5 linked regions of the Mus musculus genome follow. The protein of the gene in region 3 interacts with the protein of the main gene of each other region in a pairwise test. Links are inferred from orthologs where the notes say so. Each region holds a gene or a part of one and is shown on either strand. Other genes may lie near its edges.

What was found.
Region 1: the proteins of Rbbp8 (region 3) and Rb1 interact in a two-hybrid assay, tested with the Homo sapiens proteins (2 studies listed by BioGRID). The link is inferred for Mus musculus from reciprocal best matches to the Homo sapiens genes RBBP8 and RB1.
Region 2: the proteins of Rbbp8 (region 3) and Rbl2 interact in binary tests that used the Homo sapiens proteins (3 or more experiments, as listed by UniProt). The link is inferred for Mus musculus from reciprocal best matches to the Homo sapiens genes RBBP8 and RBL2.
Region 4: the proteins of Rbbp8 (region 3) and Rbl1 interact in a two-hybrid assay, tested with the Homo sapiens proteins (2 studies listed by BioGRID and IntAct). The link is inferred for Mus musculus from reciprocal best matches to the Homo sapiens genes RBBP8 and RBL1.
Region 5: the proteins of Rbbp8 (region 3) and Lims1 interact in a two-hybrid assay, tested with the Homo sapiens proteins (2 studies listed by BioGRID and IntAct). The two-hybrid records come from large-scale screens. The link is inferred for Mus musculus from reciprocal best matches to the Homo sapiens genes RBBP8 and LIMS1.

What each region holds. Positions count from the first base shown.
Region 1 is NC_000080.6:73,213,944-73,218,041, reverse strand, and holds part of Rb1 (retinoblastoma-associated protein), read left to right. Parts: intron 1-1,262; coding exon 1,263-1,378; intron 1,379-4,098. UniProt on the Homo sapiens protein: Tumor suppressor that is a key regulator of the G1/S transition of the cell cycle. The hypophosphorylated form binds transcription regulators of the E2F family, preventing transcription of E2F-responsive genes.
Region 2 is NC_000074.6:91,083,412-91,087,509, forward strand, and holds part of Rbl2 (retinoblastoma-like protein 2), read left to right. Parts: coding exon 1-16; intron 17-2,021; coding exon 2,022-2,182; intron 2,183-2,263; coding exon 2,264-2,328; intron 2,329-3,571; coding exon 3,572-3,758; intron 3,759-4,098. UniProt on the Homo sapiens protein: Key regulator of entry into cell division. Directly involved in heterochromatin formation by maintaining overall chromatin structure and, in particular, that of constitutive heterochromatin by stabilizing histone methylation.
Region 3 is NC_000084.6:11,730,255-11,734,352, forward strand, and holds part of Rbbp8 (DNA endonuclease RBBP8), read left to right. Parts: intron 1-1,935; coding exon 1,936-2,076; intron 2,077-4,098. UniProt on the Homo sapiens protein: Endonuclease that cooperates with the MRE11-RAD50-NBN (MRN) complex in DNA-end resection, the first step of double-strand break (DSB) repair through the homologous recombination (HR) pathway.
Region 4 is NC_000068.7:157,187,220-157,191,317, reverse strand, and holds part of Rbl1 (retinoblastoma-like protein 1), read left to right. Parts: intron 1-2,982; coding exon 2,983-3,095; intron 3,096-3,279; coding exon 3,280-3,383; intron 3,384-4,098. UniProt on the Homo sapiens protein: Key regulator of entry into cell division. Directly involved in heterochromatin formation by maintaining overall chromatin structure and, in particular, that of constitutive heterochromatin by stabilizing histone methylation.
Region 5 is NC_000076.6:58,392,548-58,397,445, forward strand, and holds the start of Lims1 (LIM and senescent cell antigen-like-containing domain protein 1), read left to right. Parts: upstream 1-1,825; 5' UTR 1,826-1,871; coding exon 1,872-2,053; intron 2,054-4,898. UniProt on the Homo sapiens protein: Within the IPP (ILK-PINCH-PARVIN) complex, binds to F-actin, promoting F-actin bundling, a process required to generate force for actin cytoskeleton reorganization and subsequent dynamic cell adhesion events such as cell spreading and migration.

The sequences.
Region 1 (4,098 bases), on a different chromosome or scaffold from region 3:
GTGTCACCATTGCCCAGCTCTGATTCGATTTTTTAGTAATGACAAGACTACTCAAATTATATTATTTTTCCAAAGCTTTTATTGTTCTTTTGGAAGTAGAGTATACAGCTTTATTCAGGCTAAGAAGGCATTCTACCTCTGGCCTATTTTCCAGCCTAAATTCAAAACTTTCTATATCCAAACATGATGCTAACCCATGTAATATATCATAGACAAAAAATGTAACTAAAATGTTGATAAAATTATAGTCCACCATGTGTATAAGTTATATTTGAAACATAAATGAACCATGTGCTTAAACTTTGGTTTTATCACCAATATATCTTAATATACATATAAGTGAATATTCAAAAAAAAATCAAAAGCCAAGATGCATGTTGGAGGAACACTTGAGGTCATTTATTTTCCTGGTTTTGTATGTGCATGCACACAGTATCAGCACTGTCGAGTAAGAACTCCAAATGGAGTAAAGGATCTCGCGCTGCCGAAGTTAATGCTCCTTAGCCCTGTCTGTCACAGAGGGAGGGCAACAGTGCTTCCTAGTCTTCTAATGGTTGCTCGGAGACTCACTGCTTCTGTCTGCTAACCTAGGCCTAGGCCTGGAAGCTAATCTAGACCTAGAATGTTTTCAGCCTCTGAGACTTACTGCTGAATATACTCACCCTTCCTTGTTCTTTCCAAACTCTAGATGGCTGGTTCAGAGTTGCTGTTTTGGCTCAAACCTTCCTCCAAGCTGTTTCAATTTGGCATCTCTGACTGAATTGCTCTATGTGGCCTCATACTAACTTTGGCAATGTGTTCTGATCTTCTGGCTCCTGCTCCTTTTCCAGCTTGTTCTGTCTTCACCCCTGACTACTTTCTCCATTCTCTCTCTCTCTCTCTCTCTCTCTGCATGGCTCCCTCCAGTAGCTTCTTTTTCCTCTCTCTTGAGAGTTAGGCGTATCCTATTCTGTCAACCTATCTCTGATTTGTTACTTTGTCTGCCACTCAATTAGACATCACTTTCAAACTTCCTTCTCCAAACTACCTTTACCTTCATTGTTTGGGATTAAAGGTGTGTATGAAGGCTGTCTGTATTCTGGTCAGCAGGGCTAAAGGTGTGTGGGAAGGGATGAGCCACACCACACTAGAAATCATTTTTTAACACAATCCCAGGTTCACAGTGTGGTCAGATATCCTGCAACAACAAAGCATGGTTTTCATATGTACTCAGTAAAGCCATACCTGCTGATGTTGTTATAATGCCATTTTCTTTTATCCAGGATTCACCTTTATTTGATCTCATTAAGCAGTCCAAGGATGGAGAAGGACCTGATAACCTTGAACCTGCTTGTCCTCTCAGCCTGCCTCTCCAGGGTAACCATACTGCAGCAGATATGTAAGTAAAGGCACCGTGCTTTCATTCAAACTGCAGAGATACTCTGGCCATAAGGGAAGCTCAAAGCGCTATATAGAAATTGTAGGACTGAAATTTTGCTTAAGATACTATTTTTTCTTTTAAGTGTTAGGAATCTAAGACACATGACCCAAGTAAGGTCAAATAAAGAAGTACAAAGCTACTGAATCACATGGTGTTGGTGTAGCGGGGAATTAATCGTTCATGACAAAGCTGATGCTGCTTTAGATAGGTCCGAATGATCAGATAGGACTTTAGCATGAGAATTGGAAAAGCAAGAGGAAATATCCCAAGAGTCCGAACTTACTTGTTTCTGAAACAGCCAGAAAGCAGGAGAGATTTTCAGAGAATATGTATCAGACCATTTGGGGAGAGGCACAGAGTAAGTGTGGAGTAATGGACTATTACACATCGCTAGTGTGGAGTGGTGATGCTGAGAGAAGAAACAGCTGACATTTAGTCAGGGTTCCCTGTATTTGGGGCATTTACATAGGTACGTCAGATTCACATTTTTCCCTAGAGTTCATACCAGCCTCGTAAGGTAGAAGATACTGTATCAGCACCAGTTACCTGTAAAGTAGCAATGAGGGAAACAAGGGAGCTTGCTTAAGATGCACATAAATGAACCCAAGTAGTCAGATCACAGTACATGCTCTCTTAGCCCTCTAGCTTTGTCCTTTCATAGAAACGTGCTCCATGTTTCTACCTGATTCAGTGAGGAAATACAGCATTCTGTGATAAACCATTTTCCTGTGATATCATTTCCATGGTAACTTCCACCCAAAGTATTTCTGACCCACAGAGACTGTGTATTCATGCATGAGTTTGTTTGTTAGGTAATATTTTCACATAAGTCAGCTTTATATGTTCCTGTAATTCAGGAAATGGTTATTTGTAAAGTGCTAGGTTAACAGTACCAGTTACTGATATGATTAGATGGCCTGGTCCTTTTCCCTTATAGGACTTTGCATCTCACAGGAAGGAAGCAGTGAACACATAGACTAGTATGAGTTTAGTTTAGAGGACTCATGCAACAGTGAAACCAATGAAATGAGAGGAGGGGAGACCCAGGAGATGACGTCATAGTTTGACTGGAGACCTGGAAGGCAACGTAATGCTGACCAGACAAAACTTTTCCTCTTTTGGGAAAATGCCTATATTATGGACTAGAAAGAAACCCAGGGTGGGTGGCTCACAGTCAGAGCAGTAAGTGTAAGGCTGACGCAGAAGCAGCACACTGGAGCTAGAGGCTCTAAATGCATAGATGTTATAAGGTAGTGGGAAACCATTCACACACAAATGCAACTGTGAATAATCTGTATTAAGAGACTATCTAGTTGCTATTTGAAATATGGGAGGGCTTGAGGGCTAGGAGATGTCAAGTCAAGAAAATGGAAAGAAAATTTCAAAGACTTTATAGTTTAAATAAGGGATGCAGGGACTGGAGAGATGGCTCAGTGGTTAAGAGCACTGACTGCTCTTCCAGAGGTCCTGAGTTCAATTCCCAGCAACCACATGGTGGCTCACAACCATGTATAATGGGATCTGATGCCCTCTTCTGTTGTGTCTGAGGATAGCTACAGTATATTCATATACACAAAATAAATAATTCTTTAAAATAAATAATAAGGGATATAGGTATCTTGGACTATCATAAACATTAAAGGTGGAAAAGAAGGGTCTGGAATGTATTTTGAGATAGAAATAGCAGGTTTTATATTGACTTGATTTATAGCACATTTGAGGAAGTGGACAAATTGAGAAATTTTTTTTAAATGTATTTATTTTTATTCTTTAATCCTTTTTTACAGTCCAGACTTCATCCTCTTCCTGGCCTGCTTCTCCCCCCTACCCCAACCACTCCCCACCCCATACATCCTTCACCACCCAACCTCCATCTCCAAGAGGATGTCCCTCACCCCCCATCCCACCAGGTCTCCCTGGGGCCTCCAGTGTCTTGAGTGTTAGGTGCATCTTCCCAGACTGAACCCAGACCAGGCAGTCCTCTGCTGTATATGTATCAGGGGCCTCATATCAGTTTGTGGCTCGTTGTCTGATGGATCTCAAGGATCCAGGTCAGTTGAGACTACTGGTCTATCCATGGGGCCACCCTCCTCCTTCTTCTAGCTTTCTCCTAATTCAACCACAGGGGTTCCTGGCTTCTGTCCATTGATTGGGTGCAAATATCTGCATCTGACTCTTTCAGCTGCTTGTTGGTCCCCTCAGAGGGCAGCCATGCTAGGCCCTTGTCTGCAAGCATACCACAGCATCAGTAACAGTGTCAGGGCCCAGTTTGGGTCGGTCACACTGGACCTCTTTTCTCTCATGCTCTTCTCCATTTTTGTCCCTGTAGTTCTTTCACATAGGAACAATTCTGAGTTAGAGCTTTTGTTTTTTTATTTATTTATTATTATTATTATTATTATTATTATTATTATTATTATTATTATTTTGGTTTTTCAAGACTGGGTTTCTCTGTATAGCCCTGGCTGTCCTGGAACTCACTTTGTAGACCAGGCTGGCCTCGAACTCAGAAATCTGCCTGCCTCTGCCTCCCGAGTGCTGGGATTAAAGGTGTGTGCCACCATGCCCGGCGAGTCAGAGCTTTTGACTGTGGAATGGCAACCCCATCCCTCCACTTGATGCCCTGTTTTTCTACTGGAGGTGGACTCTACGAGTTCTCTCTCCCCACTGTTGGACAT
Region 2 (4,098 bases), on a different chromosome or scaffold from region 3:
AACCCTAATTTTAAAGGTAAGTTTATTGAAAGCCCGTGTTTCTGCATGGTTTTTACTCGTGGAAACTGTATCCCCAGATGCAGGCTTGCTAGCCTCAGAGGACATGAGTATTGGAGAAATTCTGCCACCTGAGTCGTATGAGTGCTTATACTGAAGTCAGCATCTCCAGACATTTTTTAATGTTTCACTTTATTTTATGTGTATGGGTGTTTTGTCTGCATGTATGTTTGTGTACCACATGTGTGCCTGCTGTTCCCACAGGCCAGAAGGAGAGTGTTAAATCCTGTGTAACCGGGCTTATAGATGGCCGTGAGCCATGGGTGCTGGGAATTGAGCCTAGGTCCTCTGAAAGAGTAAGCTGTGCTCTTAACTAGTGAGTCATCTCTCCAGTGCCCACCCTACCCCCACCTCTAAAAACGAAAAGCAAATATAACCGAATTTAGTTTTAAATGATAACTTTGGCGGTTTTTGAAAAATATATAGCAAAAGCCATGGTAGTATTTCTTGCTGTTGGCACATTTGGTGCTTAACGCACCCCAAGTAGCAGCAAAGAGTTGGCTAAAAGAACGGCATCTCACTTCTTTTGCTACAGAAAAATAAAATGTTGAAACAAGAACCTAGCTCTCTGGGTGACTGGTATGAGAGTCATACTCATCTTGGTGGTACGTGTAATGTGCTTTAGACTATGTAATTTCTATAAGCCATATACATAAATACTGAGGATGTATAGACTAGTCTATATTGCTGATTCTGCATGAAAAACACCGTGGAAGAATTCTGGCCGTCAGCTTGGGCATGGTTTCAGTTAGAACTTCAACGTGCCCATCCGGGTTGGTTTTAAAATTAGTGGAGCTAGTTACTCCCAGTTCCCTGTGACTCGAGAGGTGTGAGACGTAGGCTTGAGATGGAGTTTGTGACAGACTTCTTGGCTGGCCCTGAGTTTGATTCTCAGTACTAACGAGAACAAACAAGACAGCAGAAAATCAAAGCAGAAAAAGAAAGTTGTAGATGTCACCGAAGAGTTTTTGGCTATGCATGTTCATCTAATTAAGATGGTGCAAATGGTCCAAGATTCCAAAGACTAAACTCTAAATCTTGGTCCAAGCATTTTCAACTAGGAGCACCTGACCTTTGCCCCTTGCTGTGCGCCCCATTGTCTTCACTTTATTCTCTCACCTTTTGTTCTGGGGACTGGACACAGGGTGCCCTGGTCCTGTGCTGCCTCTGCTGCTTCTGTCTGATATTGTTATTTGTTCTGTTTTTACCTCCTTTAATTTTCTTTGATTGTTTTATGTTCTTATGAAAGAGAACACTATAAATTGACTCTTAGAGAGTAAACAGGTTGTCGGGCTTGGAAGCAGGTGTCTTCACCTGATGAGCCATCTCAGCATTCAGAAATGGGTAATGTCTGTCTGTCTGTTTGCTTGTTTGTTTGTTTGTTTGTTTGTTTGAGACAGGGTTTCTGTAGCTCTGGCTGTCCTGGAACTCAATGTGTAGACAAGGCTGGCCTTGAACTCACAGAGATCCACCTTCCCCTGTTCCTGAGTGCTAGGATTAATGGTGTGAGCCACCTCACCTGGCAGAACTGTATAATTTTTTAAGTGTTGTTTTTTTTGTTTTGTTTTGTTTTTTAATTTGAACGTAAGGCTCATTTGCAGAACAGAGTTCTGATGTTTTTCAGATATTCCCCCAAGCTTTTATTTTTCCAACAGCCTTTAGTCACATTACTAATTCAATTGATAATTTATATAGTTCTTTCTCTATGTGAGGCAGGATGTTACAGCTCAGTCGGTCCTCCTGAGCATGGGTTACAGGTTGAGGAAGCGTGTCCCTTTCTGTTTGTCCTGGGGATGTTGCATATCCATCTCTGACTTCATCTCTCTTCATCTTTTGAGGCATATGTAAATTAGTTACACATGCCCACCATGTGCTGAGCAGACTAACATTTCTGTTTCCGTGTACTGTATGTTGGCGAGTTGGTGCTGACCATTGTCTCCATCTTGTGATTTTATACACCACAGGCCTGTCCGAGGACTGTCACCCCAAGGACTCTAAAGCGTCCTCCGACCCGCCGTGTGTCATTGAGAAGCTGTGCTCCTTACACGACGGTCTAGTGTTGGAGGCCAAGGGGATAAAGGAACACTTCTGGAAACCCTATATTAGGAAACTGTTTGAGAAAAAGGTTCGTAAGTAATGACATACGGACGTTTTCTGGGTAAAGACTCGGTCGCACGTAACCCAAGAACCTTTCTTTTCATCGTAGCTTCTCAAGGGGAAGGAAGAAAATCTTACTGGCTTCCTGGAGCCCGGAAACTTTGGAGAGAGTTTGTGAGTACTTACGCTGCACACCTGCTAGGATGGTTTGGTTGCTTGCTTGCTTTCTGGGGTTTTTTTTTTGTTTTTGTTTGTTTGGTTTTGGTTTTGGTTTTTGGTTTTTTGGTTTTTTGGTTTTGTTTTGTTTTTTGGTTTTTGTTTTTGTTTTGAGGCAGGGTTTCTATTTGTAGCCTTGGCTATTCTGGAATTTGTTCTGTAGACCAGGCTGGCCTCCAACTCAGAGATTCCCCCTGCCTCTGCCTCCCCATGCCCGGCTTGCTCTGATACTTTAACTTAGCTGTGAGGAGACCTCGCGCTCAGTGTTTGTACTGTTTGTACGTTGGATGGTTTTAATGCTTTATGGTAGAACTCATAGAAGCCATCACAGTTCTGGAAACTTCTACTATAACCATATGCCATATGTCTTTATTCTCAGTGAAACTTGTTTTTGTTCTGTTCAAAGTTTTATTACTCAAGATTTTAGACTCTAAATTTTGAAATTAAGAAATGCTTTTGTGGGCTAGAGGGATGGCTCAGTGGTTAAGAGCACTGACTGCTCTTCCAGGGGTCCTGAGTTCAATTCCCAGCAACCACATGGTGGCTCACAACCATCTGTAATGGGATCTGATGCCCTCTTCTGGGGTCTCTGAAGACAGCAACAGTGTACTCATATACATAAAGTAAATAAATAAATATTTTTTAATATAAAAAAAGAGAAGAAAGAAATGCTTTTGTGCCTGGCCATCAGAGCATGGGGCTGACATCTCAGCACTTAGGACCTGAGGCAAGGTGATTGTAAGTTGGGGGCTACTTTGTCTCAAAAAAAAAAATGAAGTTAAGGAAAAAAGGACTGGTATTTGGATCTTTAGAGGTGACAGTGTGGCAATACCAGGTCTTTAGAGGTGCCAAGAACAGCTGAGGAAATGTTCCTGCATGGTCATATGCCAGTTGTATGTCACCCAGCATCACAACTTTAGTTTAGCGTAATTTAGTATAATTTAGTTTATCATTATTTATTATTATTATTAGCTTATTGAAGGCAGGTTTGTTCAGAGTTCCTACCTTGACACACTGTTAAAAAAGTATATTCAGTGTGTACTGGACACTTAGATCAAAGCGAGTTGCAACTTCTCTTGGGTTTTTGAAATGAGCAATTATTCTACAGAAATAAATGACCTTGAGAAATTTGCGAGATGCTGTAGTGAGTAAAACCCTGGTGTGGAACATGAGCTGAAATGGCGGTCCTGTTTCCCCATAGTAAGGCCGTTAATAAGGCATATGAAGAATACGTGTTAGCCGCTGGGAATCTGGATGAGCGCGTATTCCTTGGTGAGGATGCTGAGGAGGAAGTTGGGACTCTGTCTCGGTGTCTAAGTGCTGCCTCAGGTACAGAGAGTGCTGAACGGACGCAGATGAGAGACATCTTGCAGCAGCATCTTGACAAGGTGAGTTAAGCCCAGAGGGAAACAGGAGCCTCTTGTGATGCACTGACCACGTTTCAAAGCCCCGAGGGAGATGCGGCTGCGGCAAGAGGAAACTGGCTTCTGTTGTCTCCTCATAATCCTGTGTGTGTGTGTGTGTGTGTGTGTGTGTGTGTGTTTTAAATGTTTAGAAGAAAAGTCAAGTAGATCCAACTTTCAAAGGTTTTAGTTAGCTCTGAGAAGAAAATTGACTGTTAATCGAAACAGATGCGTCCTGCTGGCAGTCGTTGCTTTTGAAAAAACAGGCTGTAGTGTATACCCTGCACAGTGGTCACAGAGACACTTGGAAAATATTAATTTATCC
Region 3 (4,098 bases):
CATGCCCAAAACCAGCTATGTTAATGTTATGTTCTTCCCTAGAAGAGTACAATTTGGTTATTTCAGGAAAGGAATCCTCTAGCCATAATAACTTTTATCTCAGGAATTTAGTTCACTTCAGGGAGGTCCACAAGGTGTATCCAGTAGCCAGTTTGTAAACAAAGTTTCATTGGATCATGGCTTTGTTTGTTGAATGCATTACCTGTGATTGTTCTGTTCAAGACCACAGTTGGCTAAGTCGTAGAGACTTTATGGCTCCATGAACCTAAAATATTCTCTGTCTAATTTTTTTTAGAGAAATGTTTGCTTATCTCTGGTGTAGACTATTTTTAGTATAGAGTGCAATGGTGAATCTCAAGAGCCTTTTTTATTTATTTTCTGATGAAGTTTGATAAGACGGGGGAATCTGTAGAGAATAAGAGATTTACAAATTATTACCAAGAAAAGGAAGTACATATAATGAGTTAATCTGCCTCTGCTGAAAAGAGGACTTAGTCAAATCAAGAGCATCTACCCCTTTGTATTAAGAAGAATTTGTTAATTCTTTGCCAAAACCTTGATTTTTCAAAAAGACAAGGCAACAACTAGGACTGGTGGGCACTAATCCTAGCAGCATATCTACCTATAGAGGCACATAAAATGAAGAGTTGTCACATATCACCAGGGCCTGCCCAGGAAGACACAGTACTAAAATCAAAGAGAAGCGATGAGGACAGTCCATCTGTGTTTACATTCTGCATAGTACAGCCTAGGCTGCACAAATATGTATGTGCACCACATGTGTGCTTGGTCTCTATGATGATGAGAAGAGTGTATTAGCTTTCCTGAAAGTGGAGTTACAAATGGTTGTGAGCCACCGTGTGAATGCTAGGAAATGGGTCTTCTGCAAGAATAGCAAGTGGTCTCAACAGCTGAGCCATCTCTCCAGCCCAAATCAGAACTTTTTAAAATGCCTACATAATGAATGGGTAATGTACTTAATGTATGAAGATGAATTCAGCATTTTGATGTGGTAGATAAGATAGGATTTTTTTATTTCTATTTTAAATCACCAAAACAGTGATTTTTTTAAAGAAGTAAATTTTTGCCACTTCATTAGAAAAATAAATGAAATTTTATAGAATTTATGTCTGATTTTTATACACTTGTTTATCATTTATCATTTTTCATCATATATAGTAGTATATCTTCTAGTCTTCCCAGTTTCCTTGATAAGAATTCTTTTGATCTTTGTGAATTATATATGAACAGATAGAATAGGAAAGACATCAGCATCTGTAAGGATCCAGTTATATGAAATAACAAAAACTAGCTTTCTTGTGATAGGACAACACTTGAAGTCACCACAGAAACATCTGTAAGTGAACAGTAACTACTAGGACTTAGGAGTTTATTTTACCTCATGTGCCTCTTGTGAGAATTAAGCCCAATTGAAAGAATCTTGACTTAAAGGTCTCTAAATACTTAATTATATATATTGTAGTATGTTACCCAATTTGAATCACTGAGTTCTCCACTTTTAACGTTACAGTTTACAACTACTGTTCTTAAAATCCTCTTTTTAGCATGTCCATGACTGCCTCCAGCTCACTCCATATTCAGTAAAACCCTTTTTACACCTGGATCTGAAGTCTATAGTATAGTTGTGTGGGTTTTTTTTTAATGTATCTTTAAACACTCCATTATATGTATTAAGGTTTGTTATCCACTTAACATTCTCTCTTGACAAGGTGACAGAAAACTAATGATCTTAGAATTAGAACCACTTTTACAGGTGTATCTGTAAGCACTTCAGCACTCTTGAAGGTATAGTCTATAATCCACATGTAAAGACCTATGATATTATTTTACAGTAGTTGCTATTAATACGTTTTGTACTGGACTGCATAGAAGGCCAATACCTGCTTGCTGCTAAGCCGATGCTTTTTTGTATAGATGGAGACATAAAAATGAATGATAGCCTAGAAGATATGTTTGATCGGACAACACATGAAGAGTATGAGTCCTGTTTGGCAGATAGCTTCTCCCAGGTACCAGATGAGGAAGAACTGCCTGACACCACAAAGAAAACAAACAGTAAGTCTTTTTTCTCTTTAATTGTATATTTTCTATTACACTCAATTCATTAAATCATCAGACTAATTAATAGAGGATTGATTAGAAATATTAACAAAAGTTTCATGTTTCTTATATAAATTTCTTTTTTAGTTATTAAAAATTTATGTATATATATATGTATATATATATATATATATGTATGTATATATGTTTTACCTGTGTGTATGTGTCTGTACACCACATATGTGCCTTGTGCCCATGGATGCCAGAAGATAGCATTGGATCTCCTGAAACTGGAGTTACAGAAGGTTGTGAATCACCATGTTGGTGCTGGGACTCAAACCTGAGTCCTCTAGAAGAGCAGCCAGTGCTCTTAACCACTTGAGCCTTCTCTCCCAGTTACTTTTTTATTTGAAATAATTTCAGACTAATGGAAGAATTAAAAAAAAAAAGTTCAGTGTGTACACCTATACTTCTTTTTTTTTTTTTCCTTTTTTTATTAGGTATTTAGCTCATTTACATTTCCAATGCTATACCAAAAGTCCCCCATACCCACCCACCCCCAATCCCCTACCCACCCACTCCCCCTTTTTGGCCCTGGCGTTCCCCTGTACTGGGGGATATAAAGTTTGCGTGTCCAATGGGCCTCTCTTTCCAGTGATGGCCGACTCAGGAGGCAGAGGCAGGTGGATTTCTGAGTTTGAGACCAGCCTGGTCTACAGAGTGAGTTCCAGGACAGCCAGGGCTACACAGAGAAACCCTGTCTGGGGGAGGTGGGGGGAGTCTTTCTTACCTAGAAGGACACACAAAGCTGGTTCCAGGATTTAGCCCAAGAGGCAGTGGTTGGAATGGGAAGTGGAATGGTCATATTTGACTTTTTCTTCTAATTTTGATGACCAGTCTACTACCCTAGATGTATTGTCCTAAGTGTATATTACATTACTCTATTTCTCCCTGTCCCTGATCTTAAAAAGCTTTACTATTTCACCTATTCTATGCATGCCTCTGCAATTTGATACAGAATACCAGGATGGCCTTATTTTAAATACAAATTGGAATATATCATGTTTTTACCTAGAAAGTCTTCAATGAAAAGATAATTGAATAATCAATAAACATGAGAAAATGTCCAGTATTATTGGGACATTCCCTGGGGCGACTAAAAACAACCAAATAACCGAATACTAGGGGGAGGAGTAACTGGGGTCCTATGTATGGTAAGAGGATTATACAAAACAGTTTCCCACGTTCGTCATCAGTTTTGTACCTAATATAGCATTTGATTATATATATATATGAAAACAAAAAAGTTATGCTTATTAGAGTTGTAGCACTGAAAGAATATAACAGTACTATTTATAATAACTTAAAATCAAAATCAGCCCACATATCCATCAACAAGCAAATACATCAAAGCAACGCAGATAAGCCTCCAACTTGCTAAGCTGGGAAAATAAAAATGATCTTAAAAAATTATAAAATTTTTAGTATGTAATTCAAGACAAGCTATGAGCTAAAGAAATCCATTAGTGTTGAGGGAGAGATGGGAGAGAAACACAAGAGGATATTCCTATATATTAGAAACAAATAACAGAAAAATCAGAAGTGATAGAAATTTTTTAATTTTGTCATCAATTTTCTGATGAAAACCTTTAATCTCTTAATTTTCAAACCATGACCTATCTTAAAGATGCATTACACAAATTAATAGGGCAAATAAGTGTAATATACTAAAAGATGTTTATTGATATCTCCTGCCAAATAATAACAGACATCTAGATAACTCCATTAATCTAAAATTCTTGGTTGCCAGGTGTGGTAGCACATGCCTTTGATCCCAGCACTGGGGAGGCAGAGATAGATGGATCTGAGTTTGAGGCCAGCCAAGGCCACATAGTGAGTCCCTGTCTCAAAATTAATTAATCAATCAATTAAATATTTCCTGAAATATAATTTTTAGTTTAATGACTCTAAGGTAAGATAAGCATCACCTTTATGTAGATGAAAAATAGAAAATTTAGATGAATTGCTCCCTTCCCC
Region 4 (4,098 bases), on a different chromosome or scaffold from region 3:
AGAGACCCTTCTTTTCTGACTCCTAATGAAATAAAAGAATAATGAGAATCAGGAAAATAATGTTCAGCAGCTCCTTTGAGGAGAGAGAGAGAGAGAGAGAGAGAGAGAGAGGACTTCGTGTTATAATCTTCTAAATTAGTGGTAAGGAAAGGTAATGGAAGGTCTGTTCCAACAGCCTGTTCCCTAACAGGCGGTGCTGGAAGGGTGTGTTTGATAGGATTGTGCTCCTACCCATCACTGTTCCACACTGGGCTCTTCCTCCATCCTTCTGGTGAGGGTAATAATCAGGAGTTCAAGACCAGCCTTGAGACATGACACCTCGTCTCAAAAACAAGCAAAGAGAGCGAGGTGACAACATTTCCAGGTCCAGGCCACTGTTGTTGTCCTCAGAGAATTAGTCCTGTCAAATAACTTAGGCTACACCTGACTCTGTGGCTCACCTTGTGGCTTTACCTTGATGACTGAGCAGGAAGGAGCACTTCCTGGTTACATGAGCCCAGAGCAGTTTTTGTGGTTTTTGGGTTTTTTTTTCTTAAGATTTATTTATTTATTGTATGTAAGTATACTGTAGCTATATTCAGACCCTCCAGAAGAGGGCATCAGATCTCATTACGAATGGTTGTGAGCCACCATGTGGTCGCTGGGAATTGAACTGAGGACCTTTGGAAGAGCAGAAGTCAGTGCTTTTACCTGCTGAGCCATCTCTCCAGCCCCCAGAGCAGTTTTAAAGATAACTCATTTGGTAAAGCGCTGAGACCCTGAGTGTGATTCTCCAGATCCACTAAGGAAGCTGAGTGTGTGGTGCCATGCCTTTGTAAAGTACAGCACCAAGGCAGCAGAAACAAGAAGATGCTTGGGGCTCATCTGAGAATCCAGGCTAATGAGAGAACCTATTTGAAAACAAACTGGTCAGTTTCTGAGGATTGGCACCCAAGGGTGACCTCTGGCATCCACAGATATACATAAACACCAATAAAGAAACAGACAAAAAGTTATTCTCTAAGTCGCCAGGCTCTGACTAACCCTGAGGCATGGCGGGATCTCATAGTCATGAGCAGTTTTGGCAAGACTGTAGTAAGTCTCACAGGAAGAGCAAGTACAGAGTCACTGCCTGAGATGGGGCTTATGAGCGTGGTGAACCTTGAAAAAGCAGAGTATTAAGACATAGAAATGAAAGTCCTGAGATTAATCTTTTAGGAATGTGAAATATACATGTAAATAAAATATCTCAATGGAAACGAGGGAGGAGGAGCGGGGGCGGAGCTCTTCTCCTGTAATCCCAGCACTTGCCAGGTAGAGACAGGAGAAGGGATCCAAGTCATACTCCAACACTGTCTCAGCACAGAGAGAGAGAGACAGAGAGAGAACGCGTAGGTTATGTCATCTACTCAATCTACTTTCATTTCTACGTCTTAATACTCTTCCAAAGAAAGAATGTCCCATGTCTTCCCACCAGGGTTTAATCAGGATTATGGGAAACTACTTAAAAGCCTTCCATTTTCCAGAGTTCATTATAACTCTGGGGAGATCCTCATAAAGGTAAAGATATCCCCAGGCAACTCTGGAATGAAGATACTTACCTAAATCTCAGAAGAGGAGGGAAGTCTGGCTCTCCAGCAAAGGCTGCGGAGCAGCGACACTCATTCCTTCTTTCCTGTAGGCCACAAGAAGGTTGCCAAAGTTGTCCATAGTCTCAAAAATATCTATGAAGAGACGTTGTAGGGAAGGCTGGAAGACTGCCCTGAAGATCTGGTCATAGCTCCTACCTGAGTAGATTGGCCTGTACTGAACTGTCAGCATGAGTAAATTGAAAAGAAGTGGCAAGGCCACTGTGCAAGCATGTTACCGCAATAGGAGAAGGGACGGAATGAGAAGCACAAAAAGACAGACACGGGAGCCAGGTGTGGGCAGACATGCTCGCAGTCCTAGCTCGTGCAGGTGAAAGCAGGCAGAGCAGACTTCAAGGCATCTTTGGCTATATGAATAGTTCAGGAGCAACCTGGGCTACATGCGACCATGTCTCAAAAAGCAAACAAACCCAAAACTATAACAAACCAAAATAGGAAAACAAACAAACAAACAAACAAACAAACAAAACCACCAAACTTTAAAACTCATGTGGAACTTTAGTACCCCAAAAAGCCAAGACAAACTTGAAAAAGATCAGCGCTGGAGGCTTTACATTTTATTTCAATATAGTAGAATAGTACACAGCTTCAATAATCAAAAAAGCATGGTATTGACCCAGACATGTATAAACTGGGGAAACAAAATGGAGAGAAATAAGCTATATTTTTTTTCAAGTGATCATTGATAGTGTACCAAGACCATATAGTGGGTAAAGAGTAGAAAGAAATGATGTTGGGAAAACAAAATATCCTTATGCAGAAGAATGAAGATATTACACAATATTAAAAAATTAATTCAGGGCCAGTGAGGTGGCTCAGGACTGCATCTTTTATCTTTGGCTGCCAAGTCTGGTAACTTGAGTTTGATGCTTAGGAAGAAGAGAGATGGATTCTAGATATCCTCTGACCGCTACCAAAATAAATAATCATAAATGCTCCTGGACCAGAGAGATGGGCAGCAGTTAATGTACTTGTTGCTTTTGCAGAGATCCAAGGTTTGATTCTGAGCACCCACATTAGACTGGCACCTTGTTTGGCCTCTGTCGCACTGCATGCATTTCATGTCTAAGCAGGCATCAAATGTATGCTACCATACCTGGCAAAATAGCATGATTAAAAATGCTTATAGCTGACTGGTAAGGCAACTCAGCAAATGCCTGCTAAGTTCAGTCCCTAATACTTACAGTGTATGTGCGCGCGTGCAAGTTTGTATCTGTATTCCATGGCCTTGGGTATCTACGCAAGCTGTCTGTCACTGAGCTGGATCCGAGCCCCTGGGTGATTCTTGAAGAATCTTGAGGAATGTTGATAATCTGGGTTTTCCTGATAAGCAAGTTTCTCTTGTATTTTATAGATCTTGTATGCGGAATCCTATGGGAAACATTATAAAAATTGTGAAAGGAATAGGAGAGACTTTCTGCCAACACTATACCCAGTCCACAGATAAACAGCCAGGATCTCACATAGGTAAGAAGAGAAGAATAAAAGCGGCACAGCATTAAGTATGGAGACTGTCCCCACAGATAGCATTAAGTGTGGAGAAAGAATGTCCCCACAGTCAGGTTCCCATCTCTTGCAGTTAATGTACCCGCTTACTGTTGAGTTTGCCATCACCATTTCAATAGCATATGCTCTCCTGTGTTTTCTATAGACTTTGCTGTAAACAGACTAAAACTGGCAGAAATTTTGTATTACAAAATACTGGAGACTATAATGGTCCAGGAAACACGACGGCTTCATGGAATGGACATGTCGGTAAGTAACTCTATCCTCCTAGCCAGCTTTCAGTCCTACCAGGGAAGTAAGAGGTTTCTTTTTGTTAGTTTGTTTTCACTTTCTAAAAAAGTAATAATTTTTATTCTATACAATGTAAGCAATAAAAATTTACATAATTTCTTAGTTTTTAGTTGAAGAAAAAGATTATAAGGGAGAATATGAAAATGAGATTTCTACTCTACTAGAAAATTTACACTCACTTGTATTTACAACCATCAACTCTACACTCATTTTACCTAGAGAGTCTAAAAGCTTCTTTGAGAACACAGTTATACCATAGTTCTGCAACAGTTGTGAAAGCAGTTGTGGTCCCAGAACATAGGAGCACACACTTGCACGTAGCTGTCAGCGTGTAAAAACCTCATCTCTGCCTCCATCAGAGGAGAATGAGTCACTGCCACCTCTGCGTGGACAGTCTCCTCTCCAGTTCTTACACAGAGGCTGAACTTGGCAGGAATAGAAATGGATTCAAGCAGCAGCTGTCCATGAGCTCCGAAAGAGGAACTGAATGTCAACTGTTAACCAGCTTTGTCCTTTCTAGTTTGACAACTTCTTGAGACCTTGAGACCTAGTTGGTTTCTTCTCCCTTAGTTCTCAGTGATGTCACCTGATTGTTTCACACCTTGACTGATGAGGTCACTTTGTCCAACTTCAGCCACCTGCTCTTCCTAAGACTTCATTTCATTATTACAAA
Region 5 (4,898 bases), on a different chromosome or scaffold from region 3:
CACTGATAAGTGGATATTAGACAGAATCTTACTGTATAATTCAGGCTGGCCTTTATCGTTGTGGAGCCCGTGGTGGGTTTAAATTCTAAATTCGTCTGCCTCAGCCTCTCAAGTGCTTGTATTATTGGCATGCACCCCCACTCCTAGCAGCTCTTTCAAAGTTAAAGTATGATTGGAATATAGCTCAACAGATTCACTCTCAGCATCTCTTAAGTGAAGGATAAATCTACATTTACACAGAAGCCTCTAAACAACTTTCATTGGCAATAGCCTAAAACTATGAAGTACTTAAATCTTCAGTGAGTGAATGGTTTAACTACATATATATTAATACTGCTGAATATTATGCAGCAACATAAGATCAAACTACATATACGTATCTAGCAACCTGGACAGATCTCAGTGACTGTGACTAAACAAAACCAACCTTCGGCCAGCACATATAGTAGGGTTCCACAAATGACACGTTATACAGGTGAAAAACAGATTAGTTAAGGAGTACAGTAAGGAGATTTCTATGGGCAGAGATCATGTCCTGCTTGATTGGTGGCCACAGTAGCTACACACTCAGTGGCAGTAGAACAGCTATGCCACTGCCAGGCTCCCAACTTCGCTGCTCTATTTCCCCTTCTTCAGAGAGGAAACTGAAGGAGTGGCTTATGCTCCGTCAGCACGAGGCTGAAGAATTGTCTGGTTCTGTCCTTCCTGTTTTACTTTGTCCTAATGAAAAGAAACCAAAACCAAGAGAGTATAGATGAATGGAAAGGGTGATATTTGCACAGGGAAGCTGTCTCTAGGGCTTTCCCTCTTCTGGCATCCACCAGTCTGGGGTCCAAGCAGGTCCAGGGCTGCAGTCTTGGAATTCCTCATCATTTTGATATCTCTGGATTCAAAGTAGGGAGGTGTGATCTCAGTTCCTGCTTCTGGTCCCATTTTGTACCTGCCATATACTGGTTTTGAGTTCCTGTTTTATTTCCCAGTGATTCTGTTCAGCCATTTTCTCTCATAGAAGTTACAGCATAGCCCTGTCACTTATTATTCAGCCTCTTTGTGGCCTTGGTTTTCTTACTTGTGAATAGCACCTGTTTCATAGAGGATATGGTGATATGATAGGAGACACTATTCACGGTTACTCAGGTCTCAACTGTTGCTTGTCTCTCAAAGGGCATATGGCTCTTCTGTTATCACTATGACCTGCAGTGCTTAGCGCCGTGCCTGCTCACAGTTCTTTGAGGTGCTTGCTTTGGGTAGGATGGCTTGTTGGACTAGAGAATGGAACCACAGAAGAACCCTGCACCCTGTGTTGCCTCATGCTTCTCTGTTGCTATTATCATCATGACAAACACAATTACAAGACAGTAGTAGTTTAAGCTAAATATAGCAGGAATACCATGAAGAATCCGTGACTCTCCTGTTACAGGATTAGCTGGGATTAAATTGAAGAATTACAGTTAAACTCTAGTCTGGTTTACACTGCTCCATTCATTGAAGCCTTTACTATGCTGTTACTTTTATCAAGAACAAAGATAATAAATGGCTACATAGAGCTTCCCTTCAGGGGCTCACAGGTCCTTTCTGAAGCTTATCAAGCTTTTCAAAAATTTCTGTGTATACCCAAATGGAGACTCACTCAGACACAAATTGTCACTAACACGTGAAATGGTTTTGGGAGCTTCTAGAAGTCATAATAGATCCAGACTGCTGTGCTGCAGAGCTCTTAACATGAAAAGTCAGGAGTGACCCTGGCAGCTGGGTGACGCATGTGGGAACAGTGGGAGTGACCCTGGCTGGGAAACAGGAGGCCTGGATATTGTTTCTCTTCTCTGTATCCTGCTCGGCATCACAGGACTCTGAACTCTCAAGCTTGTACAATGGCCTTCCCAGGACGGGCACGCCCGTGCACTATCCCAGAGAATGAAGAAATCCCCCAAACAGCCCTTAACAGCGTCCTTGAAGCTAATGGGAATGAAGACGAGAGGGCTGTGTCAAACCTGCAGCGCAGGCACAGTGACGTAAAGGTCTACAAGGAATTCTGTGATTTTTATGCGAAATTGTGAGTCTCTTCCCTCCTAAAATACAGGCTTTCAAGTCTCCAGATCTTCAGTTCTGCATTTCCTAGCCATTTAAGCCAGCTAGTGTGTTTTAATTTAGCAGGGCTTTTCCAGGGTGTACGGAGGGCTGGGGGTGGTTCTCAGATTGCCTTGTCTTATAAACTTCCACCAGAGGACATACTAGATGTCAAGGAAAATGCCACCTTCCTGGGAAGAATAGACAGCGCTCATCTTTCTAATAATGGTACATTTTCACTGTGTTATCCATAAGAGAAGTTGGCACTTGTGTTGTCAGGATCTATAGCAGGAAAAATATACTCTGAGAGTTCCCAAATATGAAACTAAAAATTTAATCGATAAACACTTTGTTGGGGATTTATCCCATAATCAATATTTGAGGTGGTTAATAAACTCTCAAGATATTTGATAACAGAATTTTATATATTGTATTTTAAGAGTAGGAAATTTGTTTCACATGTGGAGATAAATGAGATGTAAAAATTGGAAGGTTTGATTGTGGTTTCCTATGTTAGCCGAGTTATGGAGGTGGGTGTGTAACATCAGTCCTGGTTGGCTTTTGTAGACATGTATTCTCTCCGCTCCCATGTTTTCTTTGTCATCAACACTTTTAGTGAAAAAACATTTTCTGGAAAATTAAGCAATTAGGTATAACCAATCTAATGACTTATCTCTTTAAAAATAGCTTCTTCATACATTGTTAAATACTGTCAAGTATAAAAAAAATGTGAACAATACAGGAGAGTCAGGCAAGAGAGAAGCTGAGTATGTAATCCCAACACTTGGGAGGTGTGGAGGGTCAGGAATTTGAGATCAGCCTTGGCTACATGAGACCCAGTCTCAAAGAAAGAAAAAAGAGCACCAACTGCCAGCCAACAAGGTGAGAGGGAGGGGAAGCCTGAGCTCAGTTGGGAGGCACGCGGTCGCTGTTTTCTGTCCCTGCTTTGGTCACTAAGGGGAGTTCATATATATGAATATGTGTGTAAAACATTCATCTACCTACGCACTTGGCCAAGTCTACTTGAGTTTTCAAACATAATTAAGTCTGGAATGTAGCTGTAGTGAATATAAACAGGTCAGTGCTAATAGCATTTTTATCAGCACCATTTTAAAAAAGATTGAAATCCAATACTTCTTGTATGAGAAATATGTATTTATTCGATTAAAAGTGACATATTACATGCTAGTAATACAGAGGAAAAAGTAAACTTTTGCACATTTTTCTTGATGCAGCTCCCTCCTTCCAATCTGCTTCTGCTCTTGGCACAGAGATATGGCTGAGAGGGTACTTCAGAACTTCCAGAGATTCAGTCACCCCAGACCTTGAGAATCATTGAGTTAAGTGGGAGTAAAGCAAGACATTCCAGAATGTTCTTCAGCTTTTCGGGGAGGTCCATTAAGTTTGCTGAGGAGTGATATCATTGGAGAGAATTTAGAATTATAATGGTGCTGTGTCTTTTAGTAGCACCTTCTGCTTTCCAGAGGGGATTATATTTTTTTATTATTTCATCCTCAAAACAGCTTCTGATAATTCCTGAGCGGATGTGGGCTAGCGTCTTTCTCCACTCAGCCACTCTTTCTGTAAGAAAAGAGGGTGCACAGATCCCTTCAGAGTTTTATTAAAGACGTTGCTGTTCGTCTAGATCCTCTCTCCTCACAATAATTCTGAAAAGACAAAGTGGAAGTCTCTATACACAGTGCTTAGGCCAGGTTCGTCAGAAGTAAGGCTGCCTCTTTTCACGTTTTAAAAGTGTTATTTTGGGGCGGGGGCGGAGGGGAGAGTGTCATACACTATGAAGGTCAAAGATAACTTGCTGGAGTCAGTTTTTCTTCTATGTGAATTCCAGGGATCAAACCCACATCTTCAGGCTTGGCAGCAAGCACTGTCACCAGCTTTGCTTTCTCTCGGGCCCAATCTTTTCCCTTCTCTTCAGTGACACTCCTATCTTAATTGAGCTTATGAATTAAAACAGACTTTTGATTGATCTGGAATGGTGAATGTGGGGATTCAGCATAGTGTTACTGTGGCAAGGTTACAACACAGAATTGTCTTGAAACACTTGAGGAAGAAGACAGATGTAGAGCTGTCCTCCATTGGGGTGGACAAAGAATAAGTCTTGCTATGGAAATGCTAACCTTGGAAAGAGCTAAGAGCAAGGCCGCTGGTTAAAGTGTTTGTGAAGTGAGAGGCTCTCCACGCCATCTGTCCCTTGGCAGTGGTGCCGGCAGACTGATGAGATATTTGAAAGGTCAGAAGCTATGCCAGGAGCAGACTGCTTTTGTAGAGGTAGAACTCCACCATAGAATCAGCCTCTGGAAACAAAAAAACAAGCCAAAACAAACAAACAAAAGGCTTGGTCAGTGACTGTTCAGCATATGGAACCTTCTCCATTTCTAGAGCTTTCAGAAACAAAATAGCTATTCATGTGAAATCCTCACCTAAGTCTGCTTCAGCTGCTGCCTGGCTCCTGAAGCGCCAGTGGCTAGAGAAAACAATTATTCGTGATCACATCCTGTGTTTTGAGGTAGAGTGGGATTGCTTGTGAGGGAACTGTCAGAGTCACTCAATGCTAGTTAATGCCTGCTTTTATTTTCCTGGCCTGTAAAACATGATTGTGTCCCTACCATGAACTGCCAAGAGTTTGCCGAAAGGCTGTGATCTGTGATGGAGATGATTCCTTGTAAGCAGAGAGCCTGGATTCTACCCCTGTGTCATTCATTCATGAGTAGCTAGTGCCATGATGTTGAGTTAACTGTTCACCTCTGAACCTGTTTCTCTATCTACAAAGTGATTTTTTTTTTTAAAGATTTATTTATTCATTATATGTA